2 linked regions of the Notamacropus eugenii genome follow. The protein of the gene in region 1 interacts with the protein of each later gene in a biochemical or structural test. Links are inferred from orthologs where the notes say so. Each region holds a gene or a part of one and is shown in the gene's direction. Other genes may lie near its edges. The genes, in order: POLI and POLH.

Region 1 (3,920 bases):
AATTATTCTATCCCAATATACACCTAAAACTCTTCCAGTAGCCTTTCTTTTCCCATTTCTTTAATCCCAACAGCACCCTCACCTCTGCCGCATAAACTTCTCAAGGTTCTCCAGGGGTGAACCTGTTCAGACTGTAGTTTTTGAGATTTTTTTCTTTCTTTTGATTTTCATCACTATAGATATATATATAAATATATAGACATAGATATATAACAGTTTTGCTATTTAGTAGCAGCCCAGGCATTCCTGCTTTTTCCAGCAGCAGTTTCATGTGGTGCAAAGGAAGTCCAAGACCTTGGACAAGTCACTTCCCTACATATAAAACGTAGATCTAAATTCTGATTCTTCCGTTAACATTTTTTTAATCTTATTTGTAGTGGACTGAGTTAAAGCCATTACCTAAGAGGCTTCTTAGGGGGAAGGGTGGAAGGAAAATGCCCACTCATAAACAAACAAACAAGCAAATCCCTAATATCTCCTATGGCGCCCATTTTCCCGTGGTCCCCCTAGTCGAGAGCCGGCCAGTGAGGGAATTGGGCCATTGGCTAACGGATGGGGTTACGCCTTACAAAGGAGGAGTACCTACGTGTGTCGTAGGGCTATTTCTGTCGATGTCAACTAAATATGGCTAGTCTGGAGCTTTCGTTCTCTCTCGTGGGGACTTTAGCCTACAGCTCGGTGCCAGAGGGACTTCCCCGTCAGAAGCAAGGCGTCAGCTTCCGTTTCCCTTAAGGCAGGCGGGCGGGCTGAGGAGAGCGCATGCGCCCGCGTGCGCCCCGCCGTTAATTGGCTGGCCGGCCTCGTCCTTCCGCCAAGGCCCCGAAGGGGCGGGACCTGTGAGCCCGCCGTTTCCCGGGGCGACGGGGGCGGAGGCGACAGGAAGGCGAAGCTGCGGTTGGCCGCCGCGGAATGGACACGCTAGGGGTGGAGCCGGAGGAAGAGGAGGACGAGGACGACGAAGAAGAAGACGAGGAGGAAGACACTATGGACTCTCAGCTCTTAGGGGCGGCAGGAGGCTCTCAGAGCGCCACGGGGCCCGTGGAGGCCGTCCGCCTCGCTCCTTGTAAATGAAATGAGAGCGGCTGCGGGGAGAGGGGGAAGGGCCTCGGCCCGCCGGGGGGCGGGGGGCGGGGGGCGGAGGGCGCGGCCCCGCCCCAGGGCAGACTCCCCGGGAAGGGCTTCCGCCGAGAGGTCCCAGGGCCCACCCCCCGGCTCTGGCCCAGAGGAGGGCTGGAGTGAGCCCCAGGGGCTGCCGGGATGTCCTGTGGAGGGTGGAGGGTATTTTTACTTCTCCACGTGTTAGGCAAGCGAGGGTGCATTAACAAAAACATTTTTTAAACTTATTTATAAAAAAAAAAAATCCGAGACACGAAAGGCCCTCCCACCAAGTTCAAGGTTTGAGCAGCTGTGACGTCCCGCCCCGGTCCACGCGGGAGCTGGTCTGTTGCCCGCGTGGCTCTGGGGAGGGATGATGAGATGGGTCCTGCGGGGGCAGGGCAGGCAGGGGCAGGGCTTGTGGCCCCGGGGCGGGGTGCCCTTCCCCGCCCGCTTCACCCCACCCACGGCCTGGCGATTGGAGAGATCTGGCTGGGTTGTGGCTTGGGGCAGGCAGGGCGGCCTCTCCTGGGCCCTTATCGCCCCTTTGCCTGAGCTTTCAAGTCTGCTCGTGGGGATGTTCAGCTCTAAAACACACAGCTCTTGTTCCCCGCCATTTGGACCCTGACGTTAGCCACGTGGGCCGAGTATAGTGAAGTGCGTGAGGAATCAGGTTCCCCTAGTTCCGTGGAAATTATCTAAATCACTTCATCTTCCTTCCAGGAGGGTATTTATGTTTTATGATTTTTTTTCCCTTTTTCGGAATTAAGCAGTTGTGCTAAATTGTATAGATGTCAGGTAAAAGTTGCTTTTTTGTTTTTTTAATCCATTGGAGTATTCTGAAAACTATAACTTAAAACCTTGGCTCATAGGGTAAGTCAGGGAAAGACAAAACTGTTAAGCCTGGCAGACCACACTTTTGTTATTCACCATCTTTTACCACCACCCTACCCTGTTAGCCTAGGGTCAGGAGTCTGAAAATATTTTGCATTCCTTTGCATGTGGTGCAGCAGTTCATGGTCAAGTTGTGCCGGCAGAAAGTGCCTCCTACAGAGTCATAGTACACGTGGATCTGGATTGCTTTTATGCACAAGTAGAAATGATCTCTCATCCGGAATTAAAAGGCAAACCTTTAGGTATTTCTGGACTTACATATTTTCTTTCCCTTTCTATATTTAAGCACTAAATCTGTTAGAATTGCTTTTTTGTTGTTACTGTGTTCCATTCCATTCCATTTTACTCAGCTTAGTATTGTAAAACTTTAAAAGTGATTCCTGTACTGTAATAAGTAGTAATGAAGGGGATATGAATTTTATAATCATTACTTTATAAATGGATCATCTGAAGCAAAGAGAGCAAGAAATTTAGATATGGGCACATACACTTGTCAGTGCAAAACCAATAAATAGCTTAGTTTTATTTCTGGATGGACCTTCAGGCCTAGCTGGTTTCACTGCTTACTTCCTATTTGCATTCATAAGTAAATTATTTGAATTTGTTTCCCACCCTAAAATGTGAGAATAACTACTACTTCTGTTATTATTTGGTTGATGTGATCTAGTCATTCAAAAATTTTTATTCAGTGCCTTATGTGTATAATGCACTATTAGGTACTAAGAGAGATAAAAAAAAAAAATGAAACAGCATGCTCTTCAAATTTCTTCTGGGGAAGAAATGATTCCTGATAAATATCAGATATTATTGTCACTTCTAATCACCAGAAGGTTGGCCACCTGATGGTGAAATTTTTTGGCCATGGCAACTCTTGCAATGACCAAAAATATAAAATGGTCCTCGGCCCTGAATATCCTTTTTTCCTGGCTAAAAGGGATAGCAGATACTCAAAATTAACTGGTTCTAGACCATCTACAAATGTTCACTGAAATTTTGTTTAAATGATTTTTTAAAAACAAATTTGGAATTTGTCAAAGTCATTGTCATCAACAGTAATTTATTGAACCCCTTATCTGGGCTGGGCCCTTTGCTGTTTTATATAAAACAGTATAAAACACAATCCTTGTACTTGAAGTTCAGGATATTTGCACTTTTAAAAATTAACCACAGGTAGTGTTGTTGAATTTGGAATAAATAAACACAAGACTACATAGTTAAAACCAGAAGAATTTGCTTCAGATTTTGACTCTGCCGTTCACTAGCTGTGTGACCTTCCTTAGTTATTTTCTCATGACCTTCATTCCTTCATGAAATACAAAGGTTGATTTGATCAAGCGGTTGTCATACTTTTTGAACTTAGGATCTCTTTATATTCTTAAAAATTATTGAGGACCCCAAAGAGCTTTTATGTGGGTTATATCTCTTGATAATGTATTAAAAATTAATATGTCTAAGTATTATAATGGGAATAGTTTTGGCCTTGTGGATCGCCTGAAGAATACCTCCAAAGTTCACAGGACCATACTTGGAAGAATCAATCTTTAAAAGTTTTAGTTCTGACATAGATGAGTGTAAGTTTACCATGTAGGCCGAAAGTTCTGCAGAAGTAGATGGTTTTGTGAAAGATAAAGGCAATGCAGAGCCATTCATTGCAATTGGGAAATTGAGTTTGTTGGGGGGAAGGGAGTAAGTATTTATATAGCATCCACTACGTGCCAGACACTGTGCTAAGGACTTTATAAATCTTCTTTCATTTGATCCTCACAACAAAGCTAGAAAGTAGGTGCTGTTAGTATCCCCATAGTACAGTGGAGAAAACTGGCAGGCAGATAATGACCTACCCAGGGTTACATAGCTATTAAGTTCCTGAGACTTGATTTGAATTCAGGTCTTTCTGAAATCAGGCCCAAAAATTCCAGTCTGCCACCAGC
Region 2 (3,920 bases), on another chromosome or scaffold:
AGACGATGTAATAGTGATCATCGTTATCAGGGTCAGCACCGACTGGAAAGAAACTTCCTCCAGTGTCTGTTTTTGTGTTCTGTGCAATCTCATTTACATATTGTATTCGCTGATATTTATGTCTTATATCCCCAACCCCCATTCGATCACTTGTTCCTCTAATCTTTCCTGTTATTTTAAGTGCCTTTTTTTCCCCACTGGCAGTCTGATTCTTTTTCGTCTTCGTAGTTTCATAAAGTTGCTACCATGATCCACTTTCCAAGGCTGAGTTATCTCTGTTACATGAGAACTTAAACTGCGGATATATTACATCCTTCTTTAGCTATTATTGTTCAGTGAACTAAAATTGATTTCCTTCTTTCAGTCAGATATCTCAAATAATAAAGAGATATTATTTTCTTAATCTTTTTTTGCACATTTCCAAATTAATAGCATTGAGACATACTATAACTTTTACCAGTTGAATCCTGTTTTCTGTTCTAGAATATGGTTGGATGCTTAAAATATGGTTGGGTGCTCAACTGTCAACCTCTGTCTCCTATTTACATCTATACTCCTTCCTCTCTGCTCATTTATGTTTCCTGTGGTTTTCAACTTAGTACTTCCTAAGCACTCTGAAATATACTTGTGCATTGTTCACTCCAACTTCCAGATTAATAACAATGATAAATATCACTAACCTTACTACCTAATGAATTATACTTTTTTGGTTTTCCGTTTCCTTTGTCCTCAATAAAGAGGTCAAATAAAAATGTGTAAGTGATTTAGGTTTCCTCTCTAGAAATACCATCTCATTGCTCTTTTCTGTGTTGGTCTTGGGTTCACCCAAGTCCTATCTGGGAATATTGTATTTTTTCCAGTTACTTGTAAAAACAATTTTTAACATACATTTAAAAAACGTTTTTGAGTTTCAAATTCTCTCCCTTCCTTCCCTCCCCCTCATCTCTCTGAGATGGGAAGTTATATATAGGTTATACATGTACAATCATGCAAAAGATCAAGTTCTCTCCCCGGACCCAAGCTCAATTATTCTCTCCTAGAAGCTTTCGGCTGTTCTGATGGATGATAAAGAATTCATGTGTTAGTGAGTCAGAATTCATTATCTTCCTACCCTTACTCTCTCCCCTTCCCATCTTCCCTGTTTCTGTAAAGGGCCCTCCTCATCCTTCCAGACAACTTGGTTTGCAACTTCAGAGTCATCAGCACTCCTTCATTCTCCCTCACCCCTTGTGTCCAGTCAGTTGCCAAATTCCCGGGATAAAATACAAATTTTCCTGTTTGGCATTTGAAACCCACCACCACCTAACCCTAACCAACCTATTTTTCCAGACAGTTGCACATGACCCCTTGTCATGCATTTTTCTTCTAGCCAAATTGGCCAACTTGTTTTCTCCAAACTTGACATTTTCATAGTCAAATATCTCATGTCCTAAATTTACTGCCTCTTTACTTGTGCCTCTTAGGATCTGTAGACTGCTTCAAGGCACAGCACCAAGAGATTTCTCCTGAAATTAATCCTTTACTTATCTCTCCCCCTCTATATGTTAGTATTCTTCCTACCTCACTGTGGCTATTTTGTATTTATTTTATATTGACCTTTCTATGTACATTTTTGTTGTCTCATAAGAGAATGTAAACTCCTTGAGGACAAAAATTGTTTCATCTTTCTTTGTATTCCTACTGTCTAGCACAACTTCATGCACATAGTAGGCCCTTAATAAATGTTTGTTGAATTGGCATAGTAGATAAAGAGAGCACTGGGCTTGGGATCAGGAAGAACCATATTTGTGAGTTCAAATCCAGCCCCAGATACTAGCTGTGTGACCCTGAGTACTTTATTTAACCCTGTTGGCCTCAGTTTCTTCATCCATAAAATGAGTTGGAGAAAGAAATTGCAAACCACTCCAGTATCTTTGCCACGAAAACCCCAAATGGGCTCATGAAGAGTCAGAAACAACTGAACAACACAATTTTGATCCCTCTAAAATATTTTATTGAATTATATATAGTAACCATACTGAATTATCCTTAGTGATTTCAGGTTGCTTTAAAACTTAAAAAGTACGCTGGTTTCTGTAGCAAAATACATAAACTGAATAAAGTCATTCATACTCTGTCTAGTAGAATTGTGAGTTAATCTTTTAACTGGCTATTTTGTGCAGTATTAAAAAGTGGTAGTTTAAATAATCCAAGAAAGAGTCTTTGTGTTATGTCATGCTACAGACTAGTTAACTAGAATTTGATGAAACTAAGTGAAAAAAAGAATTTTCAAATGTGGGTTACTTTTAGCCCATTCTAGCCCAGGTTTTATGATTATCAAGAACCTTCAAATTGCCTCATTATAGGAAGGTAGGAAGAAATTCCTCTTAGGGTTAAGTGGAAACCTTCCAAAACATATTTCTCTCACATGGTATTCTTAATAATTCCTCCAAACTAATAAACAATTTTTTCCTGCAGGTGGACATTAGCTGTTCTTAAAAGAATGGCTATTATATCAAAACTTAGTTTCTTCTTTATCTATTTTGCTCTTGCTTAGCCTTAGTAGAAAGGAGATAAAATTGAATTTCACAGATGAAACTGAAAGCCAAAGTTAATCAACAGTTTCATCTAATTTCTCCTACAACTTTAAAAAAATTTGTGTAACCACAGACTAGGTCCTTATAGTGTAGTTTTTACCAATGCTTCTGATAAATTGAATTTTTGAATAAGCATTATCAAACTTGACGTTACATTGTTAGCTTTCGGCACTGAGAATTTTTAGAGTAAGATTTAAAGATCATCTAATTCAATCCTTTCATTTTACAGATGAGAAAACTGTTCTGTTCTTCACCTTGTTTCCATCTTTTAAAACTGAAATCATATGCTACCTCTTATGTGAAGATTTCCCTGATGCCCATAGAAGGTAAAGATCTTCCTCTTTATGCCTAATGCTTTTACACTTTTTGTAATATACTTGTAATATTTTAGATTGTAGTTATCTGTTTTTGTGCCTTAAATTTTCTGAGCTTTATTAGTTCATTAGTTCTCAACATCACACAAATTACCTGAAAAGGGTTATGTTTGACATACTCTATTCAATGCAGGAAATATTTATTTAAGCCCATACCATGTGCACAGGACTGTGTTAGACTCTAAGGAAATACAGTTTATGTAAGATATTCTTTTTGACTTGATGGGGCTAAAAGTCTAGTAGTGGGATAAAGAAGGAAGAAAACAAGCATTTATTAAGTGCCCACTGTTTAGCTAGGTGCTGTTACAATTATTATCTCATTTTATCCCCTCAGTAACATTGGGAGGTAGGTTCTGTTATTATCCTTATTTTGCAGTTGAGTAAACTAAGACAAACAGATCAAGTTACTTGCCCAGGCCCATACAGCTAGGAAATGTTTGTAGCTAGATTGGAACTCTAGATTGGTTTTCTGACTTTAGGCCCAGCATTCTATCTACTGCACCAACTAGCTGCTTCAGATAAGGACATACATAGAATCACAGAGTCAGAAGAGGCCTCAGAGTTCATCTAGTCAAACACATTCCTGAAGGAAATAAGCATTGATTAAACCCCTCTAAGTGTCAGGCACCAAACCAAACACTTTACAAATATTGTCTCATTTGCTTCTCACAACAATCCATTTTATAGTTGAGGAAAGTGAGGCAGATAAAGATTAAGTTACCTGACCAGGGTCACATACCTACTAAATGTTTGAGGCTGGATTTGAATTTAGGTCTTCCTGACTCCAGGCCGAGCACTGTCTCCACTGTACAACACTAGGGGATAGTTTGTTCAATTCTCTGGAGGTGAGATATGGAGAACTGAATTCACAAAGCAGCGAGTTCCAGTTTGGCTGGAGGATGTAAGTGCTTTAAGGGTAATCAAGTGAAATCAGGCTGAAAAGATAGATAGGAGAGAGTTTGTTCAGAAG

What was found.
Region 2: the proteins of POLI (region 1) and POLH interact in far-western blotting, tested with the Homo sapiens proteins (2 studies listed by BioGRID). The link is inferred for Notamacropus eugenii from reciprocal best matches to the Homo sapiens genes POLI and POLH.

What each region holds. Positions count from the first base shown.
Region 1 is NC_092875.1:436,982,273-436,986,192, reverse strand, and holds the start of POLI (DNA polymerase iota), read left to right. Parts: upstream 1-909; coding exon 910-1,063; intron 1,064-1,161; exon of another isoform or gene 1,162-1,822; intron 1,823-2,105; coding exon 2,106-2,231; intron 2,232-3,920. UniProt on the Homo sapiens protein: Error-prone DNA polymerase specifically involved in DNA repair. Plays an important role in translesion synthesis, where the normal high-fidelity DNA polymerases cannot proceed and DNA synthesis stalls. Favors Hoogsteen base-pairing in the active site.
Region 2 is NC_092873.1:106,529,568-106,533,487, forward strand, and holds the start of POLH (DNA polymerase eta), read left to right. Parts: upstream 1-1,013; 5' UTR 1,014-1,062; coding exon 1,063-1,084; intron 1,085-2,805; coding exon 2,806-2,902; intron 2,903-3,920. UniProt on the Homo sapiens protein: DNA polymerase specifically involved in the DNA repair by translesion synthesis (TLS). Due to low processivity on both damaged and normal DNA, cooperates with the heterotetrameric (REV3L, REV7, POLD2 and POLD3) POLZ complex for complete bypass of DNA lesions.